7 linked regions of the Callithrix jacchus genome follow. The protein of the gene in region 1 binds, or shares a complex with, the protein of each later gene. Links are inferred from orthologs where the notes say so. Each region holds a gene or a part of one and is shown in the gene's direction. Other genes may lie near its edges. The genes, in order: CACNA1S, CACNG1, CACNB1, STAC2, CACNB3, STAC3 and CACNB2.

Region 1 (4,238 bases):
GTGCCCCTTTCTCACTCCCGAAACCAGTCCAGAGTACTTGCTGGGAGGGTATGTGGGGTACGCTGTTAGCTCAAAGATTCAATGAACTTTTTTTTTTTTTTTGCCTCAGGTTTTGCTGTCTCCCAGGCTGGAGTGCAGTGGTGTGATCCTTCCTCACTGCAACCTTCACCTCCTGGGTTCAAGCGATTCTCCGGCCTCACCCTCCAGGGTAGCTGGGATTATAGGCACACACCACCATGCCCACTAAATTTTGTATTTTTAGAGAGTCCAGGTTTCACCATGGTGGCCATGCTGGTCTCATACTCCTGACCTCAAGTGGTCTGCCCACCTTTGCTTCCCAAAGTGCTGGAATTACAGACATGAGCCACCTCACCTGGCCTCAATAAACTTTTTGTCTCACTCTGTCACCCACGCCGGAGTGCAGTGGCCCAATCTTGGCTCACTGGAGCCTCAACCTCCTCAGCTCAACTGATCATCCCACCTTGGCCTCCCTAGTAGCTGGGACTACAAACACACACCACTGCACCCTGCTAATTTCTGTAATTTTTGTAGAGACAGAGTTTCATCACGTTGCCCTGGGTGGTCTCGAACTTCTGAGCTCAAGCTATCTGCCCAACTTGGCCTCCCAAAGTGTTGAGATTACAAGGGTGAGGCACCATGCCTGGCCTCAGTGAACACAGGGAGGGCAGTATATGTGGGGACTCTCCAGAGGAGGGGCCAGAGTCCCAGAGTTGAAGTACACAAGCTTTACACCTGTAGGGGTGGGAGGAAGTGGGGAAGAAAGACACACAGCAGATGCTCCACAGTGAGGCAGGTGCTATGTCAGAGGTGTGCACACTCCGGGCTGTCCTGGGAGCCTTCCAGCCCACTGGGGAGGCGTTTACTGGTTCCCTGACATGGGATTGCTTGGGGAGTCTTGGCTGACGGTGCAGATACTGAGATGGGTGTGTGGGGGGCGGAGGCTGTGCTGTGGAGCTGTCCTGACTTAGGCTGCCCAGCGCCTTCTCCAGACAATGTCATGGGGCTGAGGAGGGAGAAACCTAATTTTGGCATGAGGGGGTCACTCTGCAGTTGGAGGTTCCATAGTGAAGTCTACCCCTTCCTTACCTCTGTGGCCCCAGGCTTGAAACCTTCCATCCTGTCTCCCTCTCCCACTGCCCCGCCCCCCTCCCAGGCCTGTGTGTAGATTCTTCTCCCCACCCCCCACCCCCGCCCTCCTCAGGGGACAGATTGGGAAGTCACTGACTGGGCTGGATGGAATGACAGCTGCCTGGCCTCCGGAGCTCAGGCCCAGCAGCAGGGAGCCAGGGAGCCGAGTGGAAGCTAATTTTACATGCTGGGAGCAAGGAGAGTAATCCTTCTACCCCCATTCCTGCCCCCGCCCCCCACCCCCCGCTGGCTCAGCAGGGCAGGCTCAGCCGACAGCCTCAGCCAGCCCAGTCCCCAAGGCGGGGGCATTGGGGACGCAGGGAAGAGAAGGCACTGGGGTGGGGGAGCAGGAGAAAGCCAGGTTACCGGGGAGCCATGGAGCCGTCCTCACCCCAGGATGAAGGCCTGAGAAAGAAACAGCCCAAGAAGCCAGCTCCTGAGATTCTGCCAAGGCCACCCCGGGCCTTGTTCTGCCTAACCCTGCAGAACCCCCTGAGGAAGGCCTGCATCGACATCGTGGAGTGGAAGTATCCTTCAGGGTCTGGGCGGCGGGGGAGTGTGTGTCATGGGGGAAGGATGTGGGGTAGTCACAGAGCACAAACTTTCTACAGCAAGGCCAGGGAGACCCAGAACTTAGATATGGGGTGAACCCACAGAATGGAAGCCTGGGAAGGAGTCCTCGGCTTAGCAGGAGAGGAGGAGGAAGAGGAGAAGGAGGAGGAGGAAAAGGAGGAGGAAGAAAAGGAGGAAGAGGATGAGGAGGAAGAGGAGAAGAAAGAGGAGGACTTGGTGGGAGCATTTGGTGGGTCTTCCTGGGCCTTAGTGGGCCTCCCAAGTCCTGTGTGACAACCAGAGACACCTACTGACCACCTATGGGTGGGGCCTGTTTCATGGGGACTGTTCTCAGGTGTGCCCAAATCCACATTACCATGAGGTGCCACTAGGTTTTTGAAGCACCAGCCTCATTTTGGAATAGCATAGGGACCCAAAAAAGACACGATGACCTCTTTGAGATAACTCCCTTGATTGGGTTGGGAGGGAGGTGACAGTAGAGAGGTGAGTGGAAGGAAGGCTTCCTCTGGGGGCGCGTCCCAGCTGAGGACAGAGCCAAGGGGAGAAGGGCCTGCAAGACGCCCGCCCGGAGTGGCTCCAGATGCAGGCCAAGCAAGCATGGCTGTTCTAGCTCAGACAGGCCACCCTGGGGACAGGGACTTTGAATCCCATGCTGTGTTTTCCTCTGCTCTGGGAGGAGAAATGATGAAAATATCTGGGTTATTTGGGGAAGGGAGGAAGGAGTGGCCGAGAGAGGGAGAGGCCTGTTTCCAGTGGGATCTGAGAGCAAGGGTCGGGCATATCTGAAATATTTCCGAGGAGCTCTGGAAGTCTGGGTGCCCACCAGCTGTTCCTAGAAGGAGAGAGAATGAGGGATAACCGGAAGGACAAGGGAAACATGGGGCAAGTGGAGATAGTTTGGGGTTAGGGTCAGCCCCGCTCCCCTCACCTGCTCTCAGCCAGGTCGGTGGATTGCCCGCATCAAACCCTGGGTGCTCCTTCCCTGCCTCTCTTCTGCAATCGGGTTTACCCTGTGGCTTCTCCCTCTCCTCCACCCTCTGCTCCTCTGAGCCTTGCCCTCTCATAGCCCCCTGTGGCCCTCCTCTTTTCTCAAACATTGGAGGTTACTGGGAAGAGAATGGGGTGTTTCTGTCAAGCTCATCTACATAATATGCCTCCCCATTCGCGCCCTGACAACCCCTTTGCTTCCTCCCTTGCTTCATCTAGTTCTTTTCACACTTGTCATCTGATGGGTCAGAAAGTTAAGAAAGCCCTGGGGTGCCCTCTGGAAATGGCCGTGGCAGGGTAGGTGTGTCTGGGAGGGGTGAGGTGTGACGGGTTTGAGCACGTGCACACCAGCAGGGGCACGTGGCTCCGGAAATTCAGCTTTCACCTCCCCATCCTTCGTTCCCAGTCCTGCTGGGTGAGTTCTCAACCTTACCCTACATCAACCCTTACCCTCCCGTGCCATTTCTCTGGGTGAGCCCCTGCAGATTGGCCAGAATCTGAGAAAGTCATAGCTCCTTGGGAGCAGAAGGGCGTGGGCAGGCACTGAGAGTGGAGCGGTGTGAAGACCCCCTAGGCCTTCAAGCTGAGGAGCCCTCAGCCAGGTACCAGACCTTTGCCATTCCAAAGCATCTACGTGGAAGTGACTTGCTCCTGAGGAAAGGGAGCCAGATGTCCAGGCGGGAACCTGGTCCTCGCTGTACCCTGCCAGGAGCTGAGGGAAGGAGCAGTGTGGACGAGTGTCCAAGAAAGAGCCTGTCCACCAGCCTGGTATCAGTCACAGTCCAGGCCCTCAGCTCCCTCTTCCCCTTAACCCTGTAAGTCCCGTGCCTCACTCAAGAGCTCTCCTTAACCCTGGCTCCAGGCCCTTCGAGACGATCATCTTGCTCACCATCTTTGCCAACTGTGTGGCCCTGGCCGTGTACCTGCCCATGCCCGAAGATGACAACAACTCTCTGAACCTCGGCCTGGTAAGACTGGCGCTTCCATCCCGCTTCCTGCGGGCCTGCAGTCCCAGGCTCGGGGAGGCCCCCTTGGTGGACTCTGTTCCGGTTGATGGTGCTGGTGGTTGACCTCCCTGAGGAAGCAGGCCCGAGTCCCCAGCCTCCTGCAGGGCTGGCTGAGTGGCTCAACAGATTTCAAGGATCAATCTGCTTATTCCTGATTCTGAGATATTGCCAGCCAGCACTGAGCACGCACTAACTGGTCCCAGTCACTGTGCTAACACCTTATGAGAGCAAACTCATTCAATCCTCACACCCACCTCATAAAGTGGCTCCATTTGGCAGATGTAGAAACTGAGGCTTTGTAAGGTCAGCTAGTGAGCCACAGAGGTTGAATGCTAATTTCCCTTGTCCAGATGTAATTCAGAAGAAACTTGCATCCATTGAATTTGCCTTCATGGGAGAGTTTTATCCAGGAATCTAAAGCGAAACATGTTTTAGAGTTTTGTAATACCACTTACTCTTTACCCCTTCATCAGCAACGCATGCCTGGAACCGTAAAATGCCAGGGCTGGAAGGAACTTTCAA
Region 2 (4,173 bases), on another chromosome or scaffold:
TGGATTGGTGTGGAGAATAACTGTGATGCTGGAGGAAGGCTTAGCAGAGCGCCTAGTCGACAGGAAGCCCTCGCTGAAGACGAGCCGTTGCTACTATTATCATCATCGTGAACTTTCTGTGATTCCAAGGCTGGAGGCTGGAACGTTTCTGTCCACATGGGGAGAGTCTCTGTAAACCGTGTCAATCTGAGGCCAGGATTTTGAAGCTCAAGGCCCCACCCAGCTTAGGAAGCTATTCCTGGTCATGCATCAGCCTCTCGGCTAGACCCAAAAAGGGCTACCCGGTAAGCTGAGAAAGAAGAGATGGCACAACCTGGCACAACCTGGAGGGATGTAGGGGCCAGAGCCTTGGGGATCCCTGCAGGGCAGCCAGGCACACAGGACCCTGGGAGGGCGCTCAGTTCCAGGCTTTCTGTGTTCTCTGCCATATCTAAGCACTCACGAGCCTCCTAATTATCCCCCGTAAATCAACCTATTTGTTCTTTTTTACTCACACCCTTATTTTGCAAATTAAATAAGTGTGTTCAAATTAAATAAAAATCATTATCACCTGCTGTTAATAGAGGCAAAACCAAACACAGTACCCTGAAAACAGAACGACCAAGTCCAACGAGATTCCTTGTCCTCTTCAGGCCATTCTCTCTTGGTTTCGGAGGACACTCTGTGGGCAGTACAGACACTGACCCCAAATGCAGCTTTGCTCTGGACCCAGTTCCGGGTATGGAAAGAGAATTGAGAAGGAAGTGATGTTCTCATGAAGGGGTCAGAGTCGGGAAAGGCCAGGCCTGGGAAACACCAATAATCTTCCCACGGTTTGGGGGAGGCCATGGATTTTGTGGCTAAAACACTCCCCAAGAGGTGGACTCCAGAGGCCCTGGACGGGTTCCCTGGGATGTCCCTAAACAGTCCTAGTCTCCCCAGATCCCAGGATGAGGACCTACTCACTGCCCTGCTGGTGACAGACTTGCCCTGTGGGAGCCCGGGAGAGCCAGGCAGCCTGCAGCTCTGGTCTCCTCCCCTGCCCTGGGATGCCCTTTCCCAGCAGCCCAGAGCAGGCAGGTCCCCACCCCCAGCCCCTGCTGCCCACCCCCTCCCAACTCAGACACCTTGAGCTGCTACTCCACAGAGGCCTCAATCCACCACCCAGAGCCTTCTCTCCTTGCCCCCCTACCAGGGTACTTCTGGCTCCCAAAGGAAGAAACCCCTGAAACCTGAGCAGAAGCTGTCCTCGGTGCCACGCCTGGAGACGGTCATTAATAGCAGCCTCCCTCAGGCCCCTGATTCGTCTGGACAGCTGCTCAGCATGTCCAGCGTCCCTCAGCCCCAAGCCCAGCCCACTCTGGCTCAGCCAGGCCACACTAAACTTAGTGGCCACTCCCAGCTTGACAGCCACTGCCACCCCCCAGCTCGGCTGTCACCTGCCCTAGGAGACACAGCCGCCGGACCCTGCCCAGGGCACCCACGCCTCGGCGACCACCATGTCCCAGACCAAAACGCTGAAGGTCCGTGTGACCCTCTTCTGCATCCTGGCGGGCATCGTGCTGGCCACAACAGCCGTGGTAACCGACCACTGGGCTGTGCTGAGCCCCCACCTGGAGCACCACAACACCACCTGCGAGGCGGCCCACTTCGGCCTCTGGCGGATCTGTACCAAGCGCATCCCCATGGACGACAGCAAGATGTGCGGGCCCATCACCCTGCCCGGGGGTAATGTACCCAGCATCCCTCCCAATCCCCACTTCCTGCCCTTTCCCATCTTTCCCCAACAAAGTTACCCACACGAAGCAAGGCAGGTTTCTCTGCCTAGAACAGGGCAGCCGCCCAGCCCTTTCTGCCCAGGGAAGAAGATCCGACTCGCATGTGCTGTGCTGGTGGCCGGAGCTGGGTTGTAAGACGAGGGCGTTTGTCCCAGCTATTTCTGTCTGGCTGGACCTTGGGGCTTTTTGTCCAGAGCAGACATCTGAGCAGGCTCAAGAAAGGGACTGTGGCTCTACCAGCCCGGGGGCTTCTGGGCCCCACCTGATCACTCCCTCCCTGCCAAGACAGGCTGAGTGGCTCTGTGTGCTCAGACTCGTGGAACCTATCAGGCTGGCAGGTTCGTTCCTGGACTTAAGGCAGGAGAGTAGACTGGACAGGTGAATTTGCAGGGTCCTGTGCTGAATGAAAGTGCAGGGTTCCCTGCTCCAAATTACCGAGGATTTCAAGGCAGTGACAGCGAGGCATGAAACCAAGCATGGACCCTTGAGGGCCCTGGGCCTAGGGCAGCTGCACAGGTTGAATGTCTATGAAGCAGGACATGGCTGTGGGTGAGCCGCCTGCCCCCTACCTTTTCTTGAGACAGAGTTGCACTCTGTTCCCTGTGCTGGAGTACGATGGTGCAATCTCGGCTCACTGCAACTTCTGCCTCCTGGGATCAAGCTAGTCTCCTGCCTCAGCTTCCCCAGTAGCTGGGATTGCAGGCATGCGCCACCATACCCATCTAACTTTTGTATTTTTAGTAGAGACGGGGTTTTGCCATGTTGGCCAGGCTGGTCTTGAACTCCTGACTGCAAGCAATCCGCCCACCTCGGCCTCCCACAGTGCTGGGATTAGGCATGAGCCGCCGTGCCCAGCCTCCACCCCCACTTTTGTCAGGACTTCAGTCCTCTGTGCCTCCTCTCTTAGCTCAGACCCTATCAGCATTTTAAAAGACCATGTCAAAGCATTTTCCTCATCCTGTCATTTAAGCATATTCCTCAATTTCCTACCATGTGACCAAACCACATGTCGAAGGTAAGCTCTTTTTCAGGAGTACCTGGTATTTGTGTGGCTAACCTCTATTCTGCAAATGCAGAGGCCTCTGGATTCTTAGCAAATACAGCACTTCTTTAGAGGAAAGAGGGCTACATGGAGACCAGGCGGCCAGGAATCATCACCATTGCCTACCACGCTCCAAATGACTCTCCAGGGAGGACAAAGCTCAACTCAGCCTCAGCTTCTTCCTCTATAAAATATGGGACTGACTCTCAACAACATAAGATCCCTTCCCAGGCTGAGGGACACCCATCCATGGTGGCAGTGGAGCAGGGTGATGTCAGTGTGATGTCCCACCTGGCTTTCAGGATTATTCCGTCTTTTATCAGACTGGATGTTCCTTGAAACCTGTCCTTCAAGGACACTAAGGCTGAGTCCCCAAAGATCTTGCAGTCTGTTTGTGGGTCAGAGAGCCCAGACCCCATCCTCCCATGTCTCTGCTCCCTCTTCCTTCCCTCCTGCTTGCTCCAGAGATCCCCTCCCTTGCTTACCCCAACTGGGTGCCCAGAAGACTCGTAAGTACCCAGCTGTTGTAGAAACACCAAGTCCCAGTGCTTGAGGGTGACAGGTGTGAGCATGTGCTGGCAGGGTATTGCATAGCTGGGATGCCCATGTCCCTTGACCACTGCGAAGCACACCCATAAACAGGCACAGCCTCCAGCCTACTCCCCTGGGTGGGGCAGGGCAGGGCAGGGCGAGGTAGCTTCTACAGGGACCACACATGGGGACGTGCTGTTACAGTCCTGTTCACCCATCTCTGGAACCATCTGACTTTTAAAGTCAGAGAAGAGGGCTGGGCAGTGAACAGAGTCCACACAAGGAAGAGACAGGCTGGTGAGAGGTGACTGGACCAATCACAGGGGGTGACAGGCTGGGGAGACGTTAGTGGACCAATCACAGGGGGCAACAGGCTGGCAAGAGGCGATTGGACCAATCACAAGGGACCAACAGGCTAGTTAGAGGTGAGTGGACCAATCATAGGGGGCCAACAGGCTGGTGAGAGATGACTGGACCAATCACAGGGGGGCAGCATGCTGGTGAGAGGTGACTGGACCAATCGCAGTCACTGGAACCAATGCTAGTCACTGGAACCAATGCTAGTCACTGGAGCCAACAGGCATTGCTTGAGCTTGAGCCTGACCAGGATCTACCTCTTTGACTTCTTAGCCTAACCAGCCATGAACCATACCTCCCACGCTTGTGACACGGAGCACTACCTTTCCCCCAGTAATCTTCCAAAGTATGTTCCTGCCTTTTTCCCTCTCTTTTCTGTGCAAATGGACATCTTTCTCTTTCCCTATCTGCCCTTCTTGTGTTCCCTGGGACCACTCTTCTCTAGAGGGAGGAAGTGAGTTCATATGTGGCTTCTCAATTAACAAC
Region 3 (3,500 bases), on another chromosome or scaffold:
ATAAGCAAAACTTATTAAAAAATAAAACAAATTTAAAAAATGGAGGGTGGGCGGGCCTATAAACACGGTTAGAGAAGTTGGGAAGGAGAATCACTTCCCTTCATATAGCCCCTAAGGAAGGTGGGCATGAGACAAGGAGAGAGCCTGAGCATTGCATAGGGTAGACACAGGGCTGCTGAGGTCACTTCTGCAGGGGTGCCCAGGGCTGAGAGTTATGGAGCATTCAAGGGCCCTAACACTCGCTCTCCATGCTAATGCAACCAGGACCCGCCTCTCTGACTGGGTGCATTGCCTGAGTCTCTCTAGCTCCTCTTCCTTTTGTCCCTCTGCAAACCAGGTACTTCAGAGGCTCATCAAGTCTCGAGGGAAGTCTCAGTCCAAACACCTCAACGTCCAAATAGCGGCCTCGGAAAAGCTGGCACAGTGCCCCCCCGTGAGTGCCTAGATCCCGGGGAAGGGAAGGGAGGGAGGGTACTTGGGTTGTCCTGGTTTTCTCTGGCCTGTACGAGAGACAGAGTGACCAGGAACACCTGGGTCAGGCCTGTAGGTGCAGACTGGTCTTCCGGAAGGAGTGCAGGTCTGTCAGTCAAGGACTGGGTTCAAGCCCCAGAAGCACCCTTCTCCGTGGAGAGTCAAGCCCTCTTTCCCAGCCTTGGTTGCCTTATCTCTAGAATGAGGGAGTTGGACAGAGTGCCAAAACGGCTTGCAGTTCTGCTAATCTGTACATCTGAGAGCCCTCCTTCCCTTCTTCCACATCCAGAGGCCTCTTTTTAACCTTGTCCTTCAATCCCTTGACTCTACCCACTGCACCCAGGCCACACCCTCAACCCCCTTGGCCATGCCCCACTCATCCCAGCCCCGTCCCCTAACCCCGCCTCCACAGGAAATGTTTGACATCATCCTGGACGAGAACCAGTTGGAGGATGCCTGCGAGCACCTGGCAGAATACTTGGAAGCCTATTGGAAGGCCACACACCCGCCCAGCAGCACACCACCCAACCCGCTGCTGAACCGCACCATGGCTACCGCAGCCCTGGCTGCCAGCCCTGCCCCTGTCTCCAACCTCCAGGTACAGGTGCTCACCTCGCTCAGGAGAAACCTCAGCTTCTGGGGCGGGCTGGAGTCCTCGCAGCGGGGCAGCGCGGTGCCCCAGGAGCAGGAACACGCCATGTAGTGGGTGCCCTGCCCATCTTCCCTCCCGCTCAGAGGTCAGAACTGGAGTGCAGGGAACATGGAGGAGGAAGGGAAGAGCTTTATTTTGTAAAAAATGTGGTGAGCGGCAGCTTCTGGTGTCTGTGGTTTTTGATGGGTCTGGGGCTTCTGGTGCTGGCTTCCTGGGCCTGGTACCATAGGACCGCATCTGCTGCCCGCTGGATCTGAGTCCTGATGGGGGCCCTTTTAAGGCAAGGGAGTAGGAAGGATGTGTGAGGAGATAGGTACACTCATTTTCTGGACTCCACACCCTATTTAGACCCAACAGAGCAGGGGCCCTTGGAGCCAGGAGGGCTGGCTCTCCCTGTTAAACCTGGACTCTCCCTCCCTGGAACCCTGACTCCTCAAGGCCCCTCAAGAGGGACCCGGAATGTGGGATCTTCTATGACTTGATGCTGAACCTTCCACCATTCTCCCAGTTAAAGAGTCCAGGAAAGGCCCTCCCATGGGAGCCCAGCCTGCCTCGCCCTCCTCCCGAGCAAGCCACAGCCTGTCTCTTGATTCCACACCATTAAGTATAAGGTTCTAGGTGAGAGCCAGAAGAAACCCATGAAATCATTCTAGACTGAAGCTTTCAAATTCGTTTTCAGCAACACAGCCCATTAGTTCAATGAATCTTATGTGGAAGCTGAGGATGTAGATAATGCATCCTTGCTCTGCCCTATGAGGAAGCCAGGGGAATGGCCTCCCCTCCACCTCCATGGGGACCCCTGAAGCACTTCTGTGCCCTCCCCACCCCACCCCAGATCTCCAGGCAACAGTTTGGAAACTGCTGCTCAGGTCTAAGCCCCATCAAACTACAACCAAGAAATGAGGCCACAGAGAGGGGAACCGTTTGCTCAGGATCACACAGCTTGAAGTGGCAGGGGAGGGACTGGAACCTCTCTTGTGCCCCACTGCCACATGACATTTGGTGATGAGGACACTGGGCTACCTCTTCATCTTCAGTAGGAGGGGAAGACCCAGCAGCCTTCCCCAGCTTGCTGCTTTGAGTCCTTCTTGGGGCCAGGGGAGGAATCCCATCAGCCTTGGAGACGGTGTCATCTGACTAGGGAATGGTGGGAGAAGCATGGGGTTCTGGAAGCCTGAGATTGGGGTCGTGAGTTGAAGCCAGGGTCAGCAGGTTTGAGCTGAAATCTCCTGTTAATATATTTGGAAAACTGAAGGCAATGACTAACCCAATCAGCCACTAATGAGTGGCTGTACTTAGCTGTTAATGATGATTAACCCCAAGATAGCATTAATGACTCGCACTGAGGAAGTGGTGACTCATGGCTCACGGCTGTCGGCCATGCTTGCCCTGAGCATTCCTATGTCCTCACATCTGTTGAAGGTCAGGTGTCCCCTGTCCGGAGAGAGGAGCCAATGGCCTGAGGTCTGTCCTCTGGCTGGGCTCCAGAGCCATTTGTCCCTGGGGCCCCTACCCTAGAGCCAGTACCCTCCTTCACCCAGGCCGGCTGTCTTCGTGCTGTCACTAATCTGCCTTGCTTTGTTGTGTTCTTCTCACCTCTGCCTGATCTGCATGGTGTGTGATGTCCGTCTGCTAACCAGGGACCCTACCTTGCTTCCGGGGACCAGCGGCTGGAACGGGCCACCGGGGAGCACGGCAGCGTGCACGAGTACCCAGGGGAGCTGGGCCAGCCCCCAGGCCTTTACCCCAGCAGCCACCCACCCGGCCGGGCGGGCACGCTGCGGGCACTGTCCCGCCAAGACACTTTTGATGCCGACACCCCCGGCAGCCGAAACTCTGCCTGCACGGAGCTGGGAGACTCATGTGTGGACATGGAAACTGACCCCTCAGAGGGGCCAGGGCTCGGAGACCCTGCAGGAGGCGGCACCCCCCCAGCCCGACAGGGATCCTGGGAGGACGAGGAAGAAGACTATGAGGAAGAGCTGACCGACAACCGGAACCGGGGCCGGAATAAGGCCCGCTACTGCGCTGAGGGTGGGGGTCCAGTGTTAGGGCGCAACAAGAATGAGCTGGAGGGCTGGGGACGAGGCGTCTACATTCGCTGAGGAGCAGCGGCCACGCGGCGGGAGGAAGGGCTCTGAGTCCGGGGGAGGGGAGGGAGCGAGGGGCTCACACTTGACATGTATCCGCCTCCAGGGGCGCTGTCGCCCTCCTTTCAGATGCCTTTGCTCAAAGCTTGGGGTTTCTCCGGTGTTATCTATCATCCCAGCTCCCGGGTGGCCCTCAAGCCCCAGCTGTCGGTTTTTACCGGCCTGTTGCAGATGGATGGGGGATACCCACTTTTCTGAAGTGTCCCCTTTCTCCCATCTTAAGGGGC
Region 4 (4,215 bases), on another chromosome or scaffold:
CCAGCCTGGGCAACATAAACTCCATCTCTACAAAAAATTTAAAAATTAGCCGGGTGAAGTGGCATGTGCCTGTGGTCCCAGTTGTTTGGGAGAGTTGAGCCCAGGAGGTCCAGGCTGAAGTGAGCTGTGATCAGGCCACTGCACTACAGCCTGGGCAATAGAGCAAGACCCTGTCAAAAAAAAAAAAAAAAAGGAAAAAGAGAAGGAGGAGGAGAAGAAGAAATATCTTGACTGGGCACAGTGGCTCACGCTTGTAATCCCAACAAGCTGGGAGGCCAAAGTGGGAGGATCGCTTGAGCCCACGAGTTGGAGATCATCCTGTGTAACATAGCAAGACTCCATCTCTACCAAAAAATTTTAAAAATTAGCCAGGCATGGTGGTGTATGACTGTGGTCCCAGCAATTAGAGAGGCTGAGGTAGGAGGATCGCTTGAGCCCAGGAGCCTGAGACTGCAGTGAGTTATGATCACACCACTCCAGCCTGGGTGAAAGAGTGAGACCCTGTTTCTAAATAAAAAGTAAAAAATAAATAGAAGGTTATTGTCAGACCAGGTGGAGGGAGGGGCACCTTGGAGGGTGAGGACCTCTTCCCCCACCTCTCGGTATTATCCCCTGATCTAACTCCAGCTGTGGTAGGATCTTCAGGAGGGGAGCGTGTTGTAGTGAAGTTTGGGGACTTTGGGTGTGAGGACTGAGGCCCCATCTCTGCTGAAGTTCAGACACCAAGCCCGGAAAGGGGTAGAATCATCCTGCTTTCCATCACAAGGAGGAATTGTCTGGCCTGACTTTGACGCATACACCATAGTCCAGGTGTGTGTATATTTGGAGAGAGTCTTTTCAGGGCATAGAGGCATCCAATTTTTTTAATGGCACAGATGGGTCCCCATTCTTCCTTCACCAACCTCTGACATCTTTCGATCTTCGCTCTCCAGGAAGTCCTAACTTCGATCTCACTCTCAGCTATCTTGCTGCAGCCCCAACCTATTTCTGTTCACTGCAACCCATCCAGACGCTACTATGATCTCCCCAAGCTTCCCTCAATCTGGTCACGCCCCCCGCATCCCGGGTTTTTCAGTGTGAAACTCCCTCCTTCGCTTCTTTCACCGCCAAGCCCCGCCCCATCGTGTCGAGCCCCCCAAGATTCAGCCTAGCTCGCCCTCCTGGCCACAGCGGCAGCCAATAGCTGAGAGCCCGATTTGCATGGCGGCGAGGGGGAGCGGCGGAGGGCAGGGGGCGGGACCAGGCGACCTCCTAAATCAAAGTTGGGCAGCGAGGACTGGGCGGAGGGGCCACCGGGTGCCGGGCTGGGGCCGGCGGGGGAGGGGAGGGAATGGGGGGCGGGCGCAGAGGACGGCGGAACCGGCCGGACACGGACAGCTCCGTGGCTCCCTCCCTCGGCTCATCCCCGCGGTCCCACTTTCCTCCTCCCTGCGCTCCGAGCAGCATCCTCTGCAGACCCTCGGTCCTCTCGCCCGGGGTGGTCCCGCTCCCGCGGCTCGGCGTGGTCGCCTCCCCTCGCCCGCCACCCCGGCAACTTTCTCCGCCCGCGCCCGCGGGTGGGGGGCTGCCGTGCCGGAGGCCAACTGGGGGCAGCCTCTGGAGAAGGGCTTCAGAGTCCCGGAGACGCCCGCCACCCGCAGCCTGCCCGCGGCCGGCCTGCCGTCGGGTCTCCGCACCTTCTCCGACCCTCCTCCCGAACCATGACCGAGATGAGCGAGAAGGAGAACGAACCGGATGACGCGGCCACCCACAGCCCCCCAGGGACCGTCTCCGCCCTCCAGGAAACCAAGGTAACTTGGGGGGCGCGAGGCCTGTCCCCGCCCCGTGTGTCCCTGGCCCAGGCGCCCTCTTCCCGGCGGGGTCCTCCTGTGGGCCCGGTCGTCCTGGGGTCGCGGTCGCGGGGCCCGCGTGACCACTGAGGCTCCGCGCCACGCTCGGGGGGAGGAGTGGATTGGCGACGAGGGGCCACGAGGAGCCCCAGATCACACCAGCACCGCACGGCCGCGCGCGCCATCGCTACCCTCCGGGGAGGCGGCAACCGGGCTTCGTTGGAGGGATGGGCGCAGGGAGGCCGGAGGGCGCGTGTGGAGCGGCGCGGGCGGGGTGCGTGCCCGGCTGTGCGAGCGAGGCGCACCCTCCCACGGCCGCCGGGTCCCCGTGCCGGGCTCAGTCTGCCCCTCTGCCCTCGCTCGTGTCTCTGAATGTGTCTCTACAACCTGCGTGTCTGTGTCTTGGCGTCTCTCTGTGTGCGTCTCTCCGCGTCTCTCCCCGCGTCTCTGGGTGTTTATCTCCGCGTCTCTGGGTGTCTCTCCCTGCCCCTCCGCAGTCCTGCATTCCCCGCTCCCAGCGGGGTTGGGCTCGGGGACGCGAGGCCGCGGCCGGGGGTGCGCAGCTGCGGAGTCCGCGCGGGGGCCTGCGGCAGCGCGGGCCGTCGGTAGCGGGCGGGGACCCGGGCCTGCGGTTGTGGCTCCAGACCAGAAAGGCAGCCCCACCCCCTACCCCGGGAGCGGGACCAAGCGGTGGGGCGCCGGGGGAGCGGGTAGAAGCGAAAAGAGAAGTCATCGTAATTAATGAATGTCATCATTAACCCTAATTATGGATGATTGTTACTCCTGCGGGAGTCACCATGAATAAATTACTCCCCGCGAAGGCGGGCGGAGCCCAGACTCCTGGCCCTGAACGGGGTGTGGAGAGACCGCCGCTCACACTCAGCACCCCCCTCTTCTAATCCGTCTGCTCCGTTCCCAAGTTCTAGGTTCTGGCGACTGGCCCGCGAGAAGTTTTGTTCTGCGGGAGCAACCTGAGCGGGCCGGGGGATGGGGCGGAAAGGGCTGTGCCAAGGGTGCGCCCTGCCCCCTCCCAGACTTCAGGCCAAGACCTCCTCCCTCTCTCTTCCCCTGGTATTTTGTTCCCATCCTGTTCCTGTTTTCCAGTGGCGAAGGGGGACAGTGAGGACCAGAAATGGTGGGCCTGGGTTCCGGAGGAATCGCTGGCTCCCTAGGCTTCTTCCTACTGTTCCCCTTCCTCCTCCTTCCATCTTGACCACCCCATAGGAGTTGAGGTTAATTCAAGGTCAAGGTCATCAAGGGAGTGACCCTGAGGAGGATCGTGTTTACCCTGTTCCTACGGAGGAGGAGGACATAGGATCAGGGTGGAGTCTGGCAGAGGTACCCCAGGGATATTCTATTGCTTAGAATATTTGTGACAACTTCTGTCAAGCAGACGGTCTGGGAGCTGAACCTCCCCTAAGCTCCAATGCCGCTGACCCCGGTTGCCCTCTAGTCACCCTGGGTAGACATACACAGTCCCCCTGCTTGCCTCCAGGGGCTTGGGGCCTCCCAGGCTCTGCCCGGCTTTCCATACAAAGGCCTGTTCACTCCAGCCCCCTCCCTGGGAGCTCTGGAAGGCGGGCAGGAGCGCGGGGTGGTGCTGCCTCAGCACTCCAGCAGGCTGCCTGCTCAGCTGTGTGTTGGGGAAGGTGAGGGCCTGCAGGTCTGTGCCTCTCCCTCCTCCCAGCCCAGGGACCCTCCAGTGTTGTCACCTCTGGGTCTGAGCTTGGAGATTCAAGGGGTGGGGAGGGCAGAGATTACATACATGAGCCAGCATCACTGATGAGCACTGGCCCCCTCTGTTGTACCTGCCTCACACTGAGCTGGGTGGGCAGCACCCAACCACACTCTCTTCCATCTCCCCACCCACACAGTCTGGAGACAGGAGCTTCTTTGAGCCAGGGTGAGGCCTAGCCCTCTGTGCTAGGTCAGCTGAAGCCCTGGCCCTCCGGCCCTCTCCTACACTTCACTCTTTTGAAGGACTCTGCACTAACACAGACTAGGCTGTGGGTTGGGTTGGGGGTATTCAGCAGGGCAGAGGTGGCAGAGAGAGAATCCAGGACCCCTGCTAGCCTCCTTCCATCCCACACTTCACCCTGGCTCAAAGAATCTCCTGTCTCCAGACTGTGTAGGTGGGGGAGATGGAAGAGAGTGTGTTTGGGTGCTGCCCACCCAGCTCAGTGTGAGGCAGGTACAACAGAGGGGGCCAGTGCACATCAGGTAGTGACGCCAACATTCCAGGCTTATTTATCAGTGTTGGTGCCCCCTGGGAATCACTGGCTGCCTCCTGCTTGCCCCCAGGCAGGATCAGCCCTGCATCTGAGCCACTCAGCAACCCTCCTAGGGAGTCCTCCTCCTCTCTTGGTCTCCATCCCTTCTTACCACA
Region 5 (4,023 bases), on another chromosome or scaffold:
CTCATGGGGCACAAAGGCAGGCAGTCAAAAATCAAAGAAGTAATTTTGCTCAGGAGATAAAAAAGGAGAGAGCTCAAATGGGTGGGTGTTTGGGGGAAGTTTCCTCAAGATAAGGGCTGTGGCTCTCTTACCTCAAATCTCAGCGCTCTTATGAAGAAGACTGAGTGGTGCAGGGTGGTACAAGACCTCTACTAAGGGGAGAATCTGGCCTTACCCCAGTAACTCCAAGGAGACAGGCCCTTTCCACTTCCAACCCCAGTGTAGCCAGGATCCCACCCACCCTCTGGCTTCTTTCCCCCTCCCTTTAGGCTCACCTAAAACAGCCCCTTTCTGCCCTAGTTCCCACGGATGCCTTGGCACTGTCTGGCACAATCCTTGGCAGGGAAGTGAGGAAGGGAACCCCCATCCTGGCGGGACTAAGACGAAATCTACCCGCGCAACAGGTGTGGGGAGGCCTACTCAGCTCACGGAAAGTTCCCCCCTTCTCAAGGGTTGGGCAACACCGCGTTTGCCGCAGCGTCCCTGTACTAAGGGGGCTGGGCACCTGTTGGGGCAGAAGCTGCCGTCCTGGCATCAGCCTGGGGGCGGCAAGCCCATTCCTCCCACGACCACTGTGGGGTTTGCTTTCGGAGCCTCCGGGACGCACCGGCCCAGACCCGAACTGCTGTCGCCTTGGACCCCTCCCCCGTCTGCCGCTAGTCCCCGCGTCTCTTCTGTCTCCTAGGGTCTTCCCATTTTCCTGTCTTCCCCGTCTTCCCTCTGCCTCTCTCTCTCCCACTTCCTCGACACCTGCGCCCTCTCCAGTCTCCGCCCGGGTCGCGTCTCCCTCGCGGTCTCAGAGCCCCCTCCCTCCCCCGCTGCAGCCCTTTGTTTCCCGGCGGAATAGTTCCTGGGTTGCCGAGAGTCTCTGTCTCCGCATCTCTCCTCGCCCCGCCTCCTCCCTGCCAGGATCCGCCCCGCCCGCAGCCTCTCCTCCCCTTCCTCCCAGTCGCCAAGGCCCCGTAGGTGCTCGGGGACCCACCTTCCACCCAGCGCGGGTCCGCTCCCCTCTCCCGGCCCAGCCCGGGCTCCCTAGTGGCCGCCGCCCCCTCGCCGCCCCCGCCTGTTCCCAGGGAGGGGGTCAGGTGGGCGGGCACTATTGTTGTAGGAGCCGGCGCCAGATTCCTCAGCCGCGCTCGGGGTGGGACCGGCTGGGTTTGGGGCGGTGGGGTGGGGGGAGCGGTGATTTGAGCTCCGAGCAGCTGGTCTTCGCGGCTCGCTCCCTCCTTCGCGCTCTCTTGCTGTCCGCCGCCGCCCGCAGGGCTGCGGGGCTCGGTGGCATCTCCCGGGCGCGGCCCGCAGTCCTCGCCCCTACCTCCGGGCCGCTCCCGCCCCCGGCGCCGCTCGCTCCCCCCACCCGGACTCCCCCATGTATGACGACTCCTACGTGCCCGGGTTTGAGGACTCGGAGGCGGTGAGTGCCCAGGGTGAGGGTGGGGGCGGGGAAGTTGGGGCGACACCTCCTCTCCCTTCAACCCTTCCCCCAGTTAAGGACTTTGAAAAACGCCTCAGTGGCAGGGCAGGGTGTGTAGGGGGACGCTCTAGGTACGTGGGGAGATGGATTTTCATGCCAAGGGCTCCCAGCGACCCAGACCCAGACCCTGGGGCATCGGGTGTGTGCAGAGAGGGGGCAGTGTAGGGGAGGGGCTCGAGCAGGTGGCTCCACGGTCCAGAAAGAGGGGCGGGCGGGGGCGGAGGGGGGCAGGGCTGGAGGCCGAGGGCACCGAGGATCTGGAGAGGGAACACGCCATGTCTGGAGTTCCAAATTCTGGATTTCTGGGGTCTGAACACAAACAGCTAGGAGAGCCGCCGAGGTTGTTGGGGAGGCAGACATTCTGGACCTCCTGTGCCTCAAGTAAAGGACACATCTGGGAGCTGAGAGGACATCGGGGAGCCAGGGACCAGCCTCTTCAGACAGAGGAATCCTAAAACTTGAGGAGCTCCATTATTCCCCTCCACCCACTCCATCTCTGCACATTGCCTCATCTCCTCACCCTTTCTGTAGCCCAGTTTCTCTCCCAGGCTGAAACCTGGGCACCCAGCACATGGGTGGGCCAGGTGACTGAGCCCCATCCATTCCACAGCCCCCTGCTGAGGCTTGCTCTGAGCAGCAGGCATCCTGAGCTCCTGCCCAGCATGGAGGGCCTGGAGGTGAAGCCAGAGGAGCTGAGGGCCTGGGGATGGAGAGGAAGCGCTTTGCTCAGAGAAACAGGCAACCGATAAATATTTAATTCTCCTCTTTGCTTTTATCTCCTGACCCACTGAGACAAATCAGCTCATTAAGCAGTGATTCCCGGAGCTCAGAGAGCAGGGAGAGTGCCTGGAAAGATGGGGCAAGAATGCGGAGCAGCTTCTCAGACCCTTGGAGCTGCCAACTTTCCCTCAAATGTCCTGTAAGAAGGCCTCCTTAGGAGAGAACCACTAGATGGCTTGGAAGGGCCCCTGATAGGTGTGGAGGTTGGGGCACCCCTGGGTGGGAAAGGGGAGTATGTTCAAATCTTCTCCACTTGCTCCCAGGATAGATGACTCTTTTGGGGCCCAGTTTTCCTCGGGGCCTCTGGGACTAATTGCATTGCTGCCAGAGCAGATGATTTTTAAGGCTGTGGTGGACACCTCTTTCTGACAGTTGAAGGGACAGCTGGCATAGCCCAGGGTGCCAAGGTGAGCTTGAGAACAAACCTCTCTATGGGGCTGGAAGGCCCTAGGAGGTTCTTCCCATCCCTGATGAGAAGGCAAGAGCTATTGCAAGGAACAGTCTGACATGTGGTTGGTGCTGGAGGGCAGCCTGCTGACCCATTGCTCCCTCCCATCTCTCTCTGGCTCCTGATCACCCTCCCCCACTTCCCTTTCTCTTGCTTGGCTCCTTGCTCTCCCTGAGGCCCCCTCTGAAGCAGTAGGAGGGAGATCAGGCTCTAAATAAATCCAACGGCTCATCTCCCTCCTCTCCTTCCCCCGTGCCAGGCAAGAGAAGAGCTGCAGCCTGCCCACACACTCACTAGGCAAGGGGGGCACCACCAGGGCACCGTGCCAACTCCTGGCAGCTCCAAAGTACTGAGAATCTGGCTATTTTGGCGTAGCAGGGTATAGGAAAGGTAAGACCCTAGATCATGCTTGGCAGGGCAGCCCTGGCCTCCCCAAGTCATATCAGAGCACAAGAGATGGATGAGCCCAGAGGACTTGGAAGTAATGGAGAAGGGGTTTCATTCTGAGCACAATTCATTAAATATTTAGGGACAGATCCTTTGATCCCCATCCCAGGGTGAGAGGTCAGGTAACCCAGATGCCCCAGGTGTTAAGATTACTAAATTAGGCTAGGTACGGTGGCTCACACCTGTAATCCCAGCACTTTGGGTGGCCAAGGCGGGCAGATCACTTGAAGTCAGGAATTTGAGACCAGCCTGGCCAATATGGAGAAACCCCATATCTACTAAAAATACAAAAATTAGCCAGGCATGGTGGCGCCTGCCTGTAGTCCCAGCTACTCAGGAGGCTGGGGCAGGAGAATCATTTGAACCCAGGAGGCAAAGTTTGCAGTGAGTCAAGATTGCACCATTGCACTCCAGCCTGGGCATCACACTGAGACTCCATCTTAAAAAAAAAAAAAAAAAAAAGATTACTAAATTAAACCAGGCATAGAGGCTCATACCTGTAATCCCAGTGCTTTGGGAGGCTGATGTAGGAAGATGGCTTAAGCCCAGGAGTTTGAGACCAGCCTAGGCAACATAGCAAGATCCTGTCTCTACAGAAAAGTAGTAGGCATGGTAGTGCATGCCTGTAGTCTTAGCAACTCAGGAGACAGGGGAGCGCTTGAGCCTAGGAGTTCAAGGCTGCAGCGAGCCATGATTGTGCACTCCAGCCTGGGCAATAGAGCAAGACCAGTCTCTAAGTAAATAAATAAAATAATAAAAATAAAGGTTTCTAAATTGGGTTGAGAGCCTGGAGCACAGGCAGAAAAGGTCAGACTCCTCTTCAGGCATGGTGCTG
Region 6 (4,136 bases), on another chromosome or scaffold:
GCCAGTTAGAATGGCGATCATTAAAAAATCTGGAGACAACAGATGCTGGAGAGGATGTGGAGAAATAGGGACACTTTCACACTGTTGGTGGGAGTGTAAATTAGTTCTACCATTTTGGAAGACAGTGTAGTGATTCCTCAAGGACCTGGAAATAGAAATTCCATTTGACCCAGCAATCCCATTACTGGGTATATATCCAAAGGATTATAAATCATTCTACTATAAGGACACATGCACACGAATGTTCATGGCAGCACTGTTTACAATAGCAAAGACTTGGAACCAACCCAAATGCCCATCGATGGTAGACTGGACAGGGAAAATGTGGCACATATACACCATGGAATACTATGCAGCCATAAACGATGAGTTTGTGTCCTTTGTAGGGACATGGGTGAACCTGGAAACCATCTTTCTCAGCAAACTGACACAAGAACAGAAAATCAAACACTGCACGTTCTCACTCATAGGTGGGTGTTGAACAATGAGAACACATGGACACAGGGAGGGGAGCATCAGACACTGGGGTCTGTCGGGGGGAACTAGGGGAGGGACAGTGGAGAGTTGGGAAGGGATAACATGGGGAGAAACATCAGATATATGTGTTGGGGAGGAAGGCAGCAAAGCATATTGCCATGTATGTACCTATGCAACAATCTTGCATGTTTTTCACATGTACCCCAAAACCTGAAATGCAATAAAATATATTTTTTTTAGAAAAAAGCAATCTAGCTGGGCTTGGTGGCTCACACCTGTAATCCCAGCACTTTGGGATGCTGAGGCGGGTGGATCACCTGAGGTCAGGGGTTCAAGACCAGCCTGGCCAACATGGTAAAACCCTGTCTCTACTAAAAATACAAGAATTAGCCAGGCATGGTGGTGGGCACCTGTAATCTCAGGTACTTGGAAGGCTGAGGCAGGAGAATCACTTGAACCCAGGAGGTGAAGTTTGTAGTGAACCTGCCAGATCACTTCACTGCACTCCCCTGGGCGACAAGAGTGAGACTCCATCTTTAAAAAAAAAAAAAAAAGCAATCTAGTGTGGCTGATAGGAGAGCTCTGAGAGTTCACATTAGTCTTTTTTTTTTTTTAACCCTGTCTCAAAAAATAAATGAAATATAAAAATAAACTCCCCTTAAGTGAGCATGAACAGAAACTGTCCCTTCTTGATTTCAGCTGTTATTAACCTGTTGGCCAAAGATAAAGAATCAAGGAACAGCAGCTCTGGGGGATGGGAGGAGTTAGGGTCCAACCCTGCCCCAGACCTCTCAGTGTCCAATTTCTCTGTGTCAGCTGTGTTGCTCAGCTGTCTACTTTCCTCCAGCCCTGTCATTTCAGCCCTGACACCAACGCAAGAGGCTAGGAGGTCTACAAATAGCGTCTGGGTAGCTGGTGTGAACACAGAGGGTACTGGGGGGGCTTAGCCCCCAAGGAAGAGGACTGGTTTTTCCCCAGCACCACCATCAAGGCCTCGGGGTTCCCAACTTCCTCTACATTCTGTGGACTGACTGATTTAGGGAATCCCAAACGTAAGTTACCTCTTCATCCTCTTTCCATTTCCACAGCTGCTCACCCCAGCTGCCCTGGCCAGTAATCTATTTAACTTCTTCATTTCTCTCCTTGTTGTGAATCATCTGGGTTTTAGGAGTCAAATTATTATTCTACTCTAGGATGAGTTAGGATTGGAGGGTGGGGTAAGGGTGGGGGTGGGGTGAAGGGAATGGAGTAGTAAGGGAAGGAAAGGCTCATATTACCCTGAAAACTTAAAATAGCTGAGCCCTGAAGCAGGCTGGGACAGCACTAGGCACAGTGCCCCCAGGGCTCAAGAAAGAAGTAGGGGAGGACAAATCTCCAGTCCATCCTTCCTTGTGCACACACAAGGACACCCATTAAACCTCTTGAAGAGAGGAGATCTGGGAAGGTATGCATCACATACCTGTTGCCCACAGGTTCCCAGGAGAAACAAAGTACCTATAAGAAAATAACGTAAATCATTCAGCAGTGAACACTGTGTAAGGGCTGTAAACTCTGGGGTCACCCCTCAGGATGGAAGGATAAGTATCAGTTTGAGGAACTAACTGGGGACTTCCGTTTGTTGGGCTTTTTTGTTTTTCTTTTTTTTTTTTTTTTTTTTTGAGACAGAGTCTTGCTCTAGAACCACGCTGGAGTGCAGTGGCGCAATCCTGGCTCACTGCAACCTTCGCCTCCCAGGTTCAAGCAATTCTCCTTCCTCAACCTCTCAAGTAGCTGGGATTACAGGTGTCTGCCACCATACTCGGCTCATTTTTTAATATTTAGTAGAGATGGGGTTTCACCATGTTGGCCAGGCTGGTCTCAAACTCCTGACCCCTAGTGATCCACCCATCTCAGCCTCCCAAAGTGCTGGGATTACAGGTGTGAGCCACCACGCCCAGCCATGTTGGGCTTTTTTCTAGACCTCCATGAAATCTATCTGTTAATAAACACTGCCAAAGGATTTGTATTTGGCCTGGAGCAGTGCCTCATGCCTGGAATCTCAACCCTTTGGGAGGCTGAAATGGAAGAACTGCTTGAGCTAGTTCAGGACCAGCCTAGGCAACAAAGCAAGGCCCTGCTTCTACAAAAAATAAAAAAGTAGCCAGGTAGTATACACTTTGTAGTCCCAGCTACTCAGGAAGCTGAGGTAGGGGGATCGCTTCAGCCTGGGAGATCAAGACTGCAGTGAGCCGTGATCACACCACTGCACTCCAACCTGGGTGACAGAGTGAGACCTCATTGCAAAAAAAAAAAAAAAAAAAATATATATATATATATATATATGAAACCACATTTCTCCAAAAGCCTCCCCTTTGAGGACCACCCTACTGCAAGGGACAGAAATAAGAGAGAGAAGAATGAAAGGGATTAGATTTCATAGTGGGGTCCAACCTCTTGCAGGATGACAGAAAAGGAGGTGCTGGAGTCCCCTAAACCCTCCTTCCCCGCAGAGACTCGGCAAAGTGGGGTGAGTCTGGGCCTCTGACCACTGGGTGTGGGGAGCGGGAAGCCATTATAGCTGAAGAGTGCTTAAATTGATCACATTTGTGTATGACTCATTTTTTGCTGGCCACCTGCAGCCCCCCTAATCCTAGGGTACATTCCTTACCCCTAACTAGAAAACTGTCTAGTTTGCTCTAGTGCCCCTGTACTCTAGAGAGGGTGACAAGTCCTTTTAACACTGGGTTTCCTTCACTCCCTCCCTCAGCTACAGCGGCTGAAGCAATTACTCAGGAAGGGGTCTACAGGGACAAAAGACATGGAACTTCCCCCAGAGCCCCAGGCCAATGGGGAGGCAGTGGGAGCTGGGGGTGGGCCCATCTACTACATCTATGAGGAAGAGGAGGAGGAAGAAGAGGAGGAGGAGGAGCCACCCCCAGAACCTCCTAAGCTTGTCAACGATAAGCCCCACAAATTCAAAGATCACTTCTTCAAGAAGCCAAAGTTCTGTGATGTCTGTGCCCGGATGATTGTTCGTGAGTCATGAAGGGAAGTGAAGAGAGTATGATGTTGAAGGCAGGGGTTGGGGGAGAGGGTATAGGAGAGGAGTATTTGTAGCAGACGGGCTGCGGCTAGAGTTGCTGTAAGGCAGTGCTATTAGAGATTGTGAGAGTAGGGTCCTAGACAGAAAAGGGAACCTAAGTGTAGCAGCAGTGGTACAAAGGGAAAGGGCAACCTGGAACCTTATCTGAATTTTCTCCCCCTCTCCCAAGTCAATAACAAGTTTGGGCTTCGCTGTAAGAACTGCAAAACCAACATCCATGAACACTGTCAGTCCTATGTGGAAATGCAGAGATGCTTTGGCAAGATCGTGAGTAGGCTCCGGGGAACAAGGTGTAGAAAGGTGGGGCCGTATCACCAGCTACCCCTTGCTGGTCCCTCCTCCATCCCATTCATTTCTCTTTTTCTTTCTTAGCCCATCTCTTTTTCTGAGAAAGGATGACCACTTATGAGAGAGATGGGCTTCTAGCCTACCTTGCTACCTCTAATGATTCCTCCTATTCCACCCTACAGCCACCTGGTTTCCGTCGGGCCTATAGTTCCCCACTCTACAGCAATCAGCAGTATGCTTGTGTCAAAGATCTCTGTAAGTGCCCTTTATGGAACATGAGGGAATGGGC
Region 7 (4,165 bases), on another chromosome or scaffold:
AGATTTAAAATGTCTATGTTTCTCTTTGAGAAGAACAAGTACTGTATCTCACATAATTTATCATAGCAAAATATAGAAGGCAGTTGAAGTAAATTTTTGTATGTATATTTTTTGTATGTATAGTAAATTTTTGAGTGTTTATTTCAGTATGCCAAACTTCCATTTTGTTGTTACAAAATAACATCAATAGATGCCTGGAAAACTCATTATAGAAATTTCCACGGTAGTAAAGTTTGTTGAAATGAGATGCACTCAATCACATAAAAATGTGCCTCCTTGGGACTATACGAACAGAATGTTGTAAGTGAAACACCCTCACTGTAGTCAATACCCTGTTATCAAGAGTTCCGGATCTTAAGGAAGTGCTTGTTTTATCAAAAATGTGACGCTAAGATCTCTCATCCCTATAAAAAACTTCAATCCTGCCCGGCTGCGGTGACGCATGCCTGTAATCCCAGAAATTTTGGAGGCTGAGACCAGTGGATTACTTGAGGTCAGGAGTTCAAAACCAGCCCAGGAAGCATGGTGAAACCTCGACTCTATTAAAAATACAAAAATTAGCCAGGCGTGGTGAAGGGAACTTGTAATCCCAGCTATTCGGGAGGCTGAGGCACGAGAATGGCTTGAACCCTGGAGGCAGAGGTTGCAGTGAGCGGAGATAGCGCCATTGCACTCCAACCTGGGCGACAGAGCGAGACTTTCTGTCTAAAACAACAACAATGACGAACTTCAATTCTGTTCGGGAAGAAATGCTAACTTAATTTGGCAAAGATGAAAACAGAAGTCAAAAGGAAAACATTCGGCCTCAGGTTGGGTGGATTCCGACCTCGTTAGAGAGGCCAGCTGCAGATTCAGGTGGAATCACCTGATGATCTTCACTGAATTAACTCCGTTTCTTTTTCTGGATCCTTATTACTAACATCAGCAATGCTTTTCAGCTGCGCAGGAGATGTTCTTTGCAGACATTTGTTCTCTGGGGCTGCCAGCAGCTTTTCCAGATTTAAAACTTTCAGTGTAGGAACCCAGCCTTCGCCATCCCTCCACTCCGAAGTTAAGAAATCTTCTCTTAGGGTTCCTGAGAGGTAGGTGTGCGGCCCTGGGAAAAGGAACGAGCCCCCCCGACCCCCCGCTCCCCCAGGCGCCGGGCCTGGCTGCTTGTGGCTTCGCAAACTTTTCAGCGCCTGTGCCACGGCGACGCGCAGCAGCTGAGCCGGAGCCCACGCGGCGCGCGCCTCTCGTGAGGAACTTTTCGGCTTGTCTGCCGCTCGTCACTCTCGCTTTCCGACGCGCCTCCCACTGGCTCGCGCTCCCGGAGCTCCCTCCCTCCTGGCGAGGACCTTCCCTGGCGCCCGCGGCTCGATCCCCGCCGCTCTGCGCCCGCTCCGCCCGGTCCCGGTTGCCCCGCGGAGGGCGTCCCTCTTCCCGGTACCGCAGCCGCGCGCCCGCGACCCCGCGTCCTGGCTCCCGCGCGGCTCGCTTCGCCCGATGCCCAGTCCTCGTCCCGCGCACTGAGCGCCTGGCAGCGCGGCACGGAGTCCCGGGGCGCTGCGCTGAGAGCGTGAGCGTCAGGCCTGAGCCCTGGGCGGCCCCCAGAGCCGAACGGAGCGCGGAGAGGCGGGGGCGAGGAGGAGGGGACCCGCCGCCAGGGGCTGGCTGCTTCGCTCGGAGCCGACTTTTCGCCAATGGTCCAAAGCGACATGTCCAAGTCGCCTCCCACAGCGGCGGCGGCGGTGGCGCAGGAGATCCAGATGGAACTGCTGGAGAACGCGGCTCCCGCGGGGGCGCTCGGAGCCGCCGCACAGGTAGCGAGAGCGCGGCGCCTTCTCCTTCCTTTGTGAGCCGCCGGGCAGGGCGCCGACCTCCGGCTCTCCCGGCGACTCTGCTCCGGGGATCTCTAGCCTCGCACCTCCCCGCTGCCTGGGTCTCGTCCGCCACCTCCTCCCCTCGCCGCTTGCCCACCCTCTGCTCTTCTCCTGACGCCGGGGACCCTGCCCCTTTGCGCCTTTTCCTGGCTCTACCTCGGCTTCCATTTTTCTCTGCTTCGGAAAAGCCAGTGGGGAAGGGCGGGGGAGACCTGCTGGTCCTCGCAGACTTCTCCCGGGCTGCCCCCGCCGGCCCTCCTCGCCCCTTCCCGGGAGAGGCACATGGAGAGACATGAACCAGGCGAGTGGACTGGACCTGCTGAAGATCGTGAGTCCGGGTGGGCGGGAGGGGTCCGCTTCCCGCAGCGCTTTCTACGATGCTGACCCTCCTGGCCACGCTCCGAGCCGGGGTGGGCGTGGGTGTGGGGGTGACGGGCTGGAGGTGGGCGACATGGGAGCGAATGTGGGGGCGCCCTACCGGATCCCCCCCTCGAGCTGCCGGACCACGCTAAGCACCTGGGGCTTTACGCCGCTACCGTGACAGCTTCTCCAGTCCCCTCGGGCACTTGCCAAGGTTTGCTTGGCCCACCTCGTGCCTTTCCCTTAATAAGAGAGCAATATGGGGACGGGAAAGTTTTTATTTTTCCGTCTCCCCTGAAATGTTAGCCATTTCAGGGAGCTCCAGGATCCCCTTTCTCTCCAACGAGTATTCGCGGTTTCTGGAAAAAGTCAGCTTCGCTGCTGCAGGTTGTTGTGAAATTGGAGATGTCAGTTGTAGGCGCTGGGCAGTGACAAGGTGGCTTTTACCTAAGGCTTGGGCAGGTACAGTTTGTATTACAGACACCTCCATGTCCCAGCGGTGAGGAGTCGCTCAACTTTTCTCCTATCAGGGAAATGGCTTCAGACTCCTAACTGCCGGCTGACTGTTGGCTGGCTGGCCAGTGGTGGGAAGGGGTCTTGGTTATATTTCAGGCAGCATTTTGGAGAAATGTCTCTTTGTTTAGCGGTATTGGCTGGTTGATTTCAAGGCTACATTTGCCCGATTTTAACTTGTGATAAGATATGTATGTGTGTGTGTGTGCAGTTACATGTTAATACATAGATACACTTACATATACACATACACACCGAAGAGGGCATGTTTGAGTATCATATACTGTAGCAAATGGGGACAGGAGCGTGACAACCTGATAAGGGGGCAAATGTTTTCTTGCTGTTGTTTTGATAGGTGGAAATTGACTGCTGTAGCTATTTTGATATTGTAATCATGGCCGTTCCAAGTGGCATTAATAGTCTAGCTTTACTGAACTTTCTTTTACCATTGGGAAATAATTGTGCTAACTTAAAACACATAATCCACTTTGATTTGAGATGGAGAAGAATGTGGAAACCAAGGACTTGTGTAATCAGAAATCGATTAATTTTGTCGTGGTGAAACAGCTAGATTTTAGTCTGCCCTGGGCTGTTGGCTTCGCAAGCCAAGTGGGGACATGTAATGAACCAGCTACATTCCCATCTGGCCTCTGCCAGAGGATCTGAATTTTAACCAACAGAGTTTGCATTTGTTCTGGACTCCTGATTTTTATCTAGACGCTTGCCAGGTTAGATAGAATGAAAAAAATGTACCCAGAGACCTCCGTTATTCTAGGATGAAGGTCTTGAATGCGATCAGTATTTGAGTCCTCCAACAAAGGAAAGGACATTTAGACCCTCATTTGCCTTTGATCTTCCTTGAGGGATATTTTAGAAAAGATTTTATTCTTGTGATAAAAATAGAGTTCCTAAATTCCTGGAGATCAAAGTCAGGGCTCACATAACTGCATTCAGCTAAGATAATCTAAATTACTTTATGATTTATGTATAATGATTTAATGTAAGTCAACAAATTATTGTACAGCAGCAATGTGGAAATGATTCTGATGGGAAGAGACACAATGTCTGCCTTCAGAGAACTTATATTCCAGTAACATCAATTAGCATAAATGTTTAGGGGCTGTAAGAGAAGTTCTGACTGTAATCCCAGAACTTTGGGAGGCTGAGGCAGGCAGATCATGAGGTTAGGAGATCGAGACCAGCCTGACCAACATGGTGAAAACCTGTCTCTATTAAAAACACAGAAATTAGCCAGGCATGGTGGTGCACACCTGTAATCCCAGCTACTCAGGAGACTGAGGCAGGAGAATCGTTTGAACCTGGGAGGCAGAGGTTGCAGTGAGCTGAGATGGTACCGCTGAACTCCAGCCAGAGCAATATTCCATCTCAAAACAAGAAAAAGAAGAAAAGAAAATAGAAAAGAGAAGTTC

What was found.
Region 2: CACNA1S (region 1) and CACNG1 share a complex: the UniProt entries of both Homo sapiens proteins name them as parts of the calcium channel complex. The link is inferred for Callithrix jacchus from reciprocal best matches to the Homo sapiens genes CACNA1S and CACNG1.
Region 3: CACNA1S (region 1) and CACNB1 share a complex: the UniProt entries of both Homo sapiens proteins name them as parts of the calcium channel complex. The link is inferred for Callithrix jacchus from reciprocal best matches to the Homo sapiens genes CACNA1S and CACNB1.
Region 4: the proteins of CACNA1S (region 1) and STAC2 are in contact, whole or in part, in a crystal structure (PDB 6B27), measured with the Homo sapiens proteins. The link is inferred for Callithrix jacchus from reciprocal best matches to the Homo sapiens genes CACNA1S and STAC2. Residues at the interface, in NP_000060.2 of Homo sapiens: Glu749, Pro750, Glu751, Ile752, Pro753, Ser755, Pro756, Arg757, Pro758; in NP_945344.1 of Homo sapiens: Tyr301, Lys302, Phe303, Gln306, Glu307, Asp310, Asn326, Asp328, Trp329, Phe340, Pro342, Asn344, Phe345.
Region 5: CACNA1S (region 1) and CACNB3 share a complex: the UniProt entries of both Homo sapiens proteins name them as parts of the calcium channel complex. The link is inferred for Callithrix jacchus from reciprocal best matches to the Homo sapiens genes CACNA1S and CACNB3.
Region 6: CACNA1S (region 1) and STAC3 share a complex: the UniProt entries of both Homo sapiens proteins name them as parts of the calcium channel complex. The link is inferred for Callithrix jacchus from reciprocal best matches to the Homo sapiens genes CACNA1S and STAC3.
Region 7: CACNA1S (region 1) and CACNB2 share a complex: the UniProt entries of both Homo sapiens proteins name them as parts of the calcium channel complex. The link is inferred for Callithrix jacchus from reciprocal best matches to the Homo sapiens genes CACNA1S and CACNB2.

What each region holds. Positions count from the first base shown.
Region 1 is NC_133520.1:28,132,421-28,136,658, reverse strand, and holds the start of CACNA1S (voltage-dependent L-type calcium channel subunit alpha-1S), read left to right. Parts: upstream 1-1,438; 5' UTR 1,439-1,524; coding exon 1,525-1,676; intron 1,677-3,571; coding exon 3,572-3,677; intron 3,678-4,238. UniProt on the Homo sapiens protein: Pore-forming, alpha-1S subunit of the voltage-gated calcium channel that gives rise to L-type calcium currents in skeletal muscle.
Region 2 is NC_133506.1:122,263,121-122,267,293, reverse strand, and holds the start of CACNG1 (voltage-dependent calcium channel gamma-1 subunit), read left to right. Parts: upstream 1-1,373; 5' UTR 1,374-1,478; coding exon 1,479-1,707; intron 1,708-4,173. UniProt on the Homo sapiens protein: Regulatory subunit of the voltage-gated calcium channel that gives rise to L-type calcium currents in skeletal muscle. Regulates channel inactivation kinetics.
Region 3 is NC_133506.1:119,668,767-119,672,266, reverse strand, and holds part of CACNB1 (voltage-dependent L-type calcium channel subunit beta-1), read left to right. Parts: intron 1-337; coding exon 338-433; intron 434-883; coding exon 884-1,069; coding exon of another isoform or gene 1,070-1,174; exon of another isoform or gene 1,175-1,282; intron 1,283-2,763; coding exon 2,764-3,228; 3' UTR 3,229-3,500. UniProt on the Homo sapiens protein: Regulatory subunit of L-type calcium channels. Regulates the activity of L-type calcium channels that contain CACNA1A as pore-forming subunit.
Region 4 is NC_133506.1:119,710,515-119,714,729, reverse strand, and holds the start of STAC2 (SH3 and cysteine-rich domain-containing protein 2), read left to right. Parts: upstream 1-1,415; 5' UTR 1,416-1,700; coding exon 1,701-1,790; intron 1,791-4,215. UniProt on the Homo sapiens protein: Plays a redundant role in promoting the expression of calcium channel CACNA1S at the cell membrane, and thereby contributes to increased channel activity. Slows down the inactivation rate of the calcium channel CACNA1C.
Region 5 is NC_133510.1:70,749,473-70,753,495, reverse strand, and holds the start of CACNB3 (voltage-dependent L-type calcium channel subunit beta-3), read left to right. Parts: upstream 1-1,223; 5' UTR 1,224-1,408; coding exon of another isoform or gene 1,409-1,412; coding exon 1,413-1,453; intron 1,454-2,314; coding exon 2,315-2,432; intron 2,433-2,556; exon of another isoform or gene 2,557-2,700; intron 2,701-3,000; exon of another isoform or gene 3,001-3,131; intron 3,132-4,023. UniProt on the Homo sapiens protein: Regulatory subunit of the voltage-gated calcium channel that gives rise to L-type calcium currents. Increases CACNA1B peak calcium current and shifts the voltage dependencies of channel activation and inactivation.
Region 6 is NC_133510.1:62,453,266-62,457,401, forward strand, and holds the start of STAC3 (SH3 and cysteine-rich domain-containing protein 3), read left to right. Parts: upstream 1-1,336; 5' UTR 1,337-1,529; intron 1,530-2,916; 5' UTR 2,917-2,917; coding exon 2,918-2,983; intron 2,984-3,223; coding exon 3,224-3,491; intron 3,492-3,728; coding exon 3,729-3,826; intron 3,827-4,029; coding exon 4,030-4,102; intron 4,103-4,136. UniProt on the Homo sapiens protein: Required for normal excitation-contraction coupling in skeletal muscle and for normal muscle contraction in response to membrane depolarization. Required for normal Ca(2+) release from the sarcplasmic reticulum, which ultimately leads to muscle contraction.
Region 7 is NC_133508.1:18,969,322-18,973,486, forward strand, and holds the start of CACNB2 (voltage-dependent L-type calcium channel subunit beta-2), read left to right. Parts: upstream 1-1,365; 5' UTR 1,366-1,682; coding exon 1,683-1,802; exon of another isoform or gene 1,803-2,154; coding exon of another isoform or gene 2,155-2,190; intron 2,191-4,165. UniProt on the Homo sapiens protein: Beta subunit of voltage-dependent calcium channels which contributes to the function of the calcium channel by increasing peak calcium current. Plays a role in shifting voltage dependencies of activation and inactivation of the channel.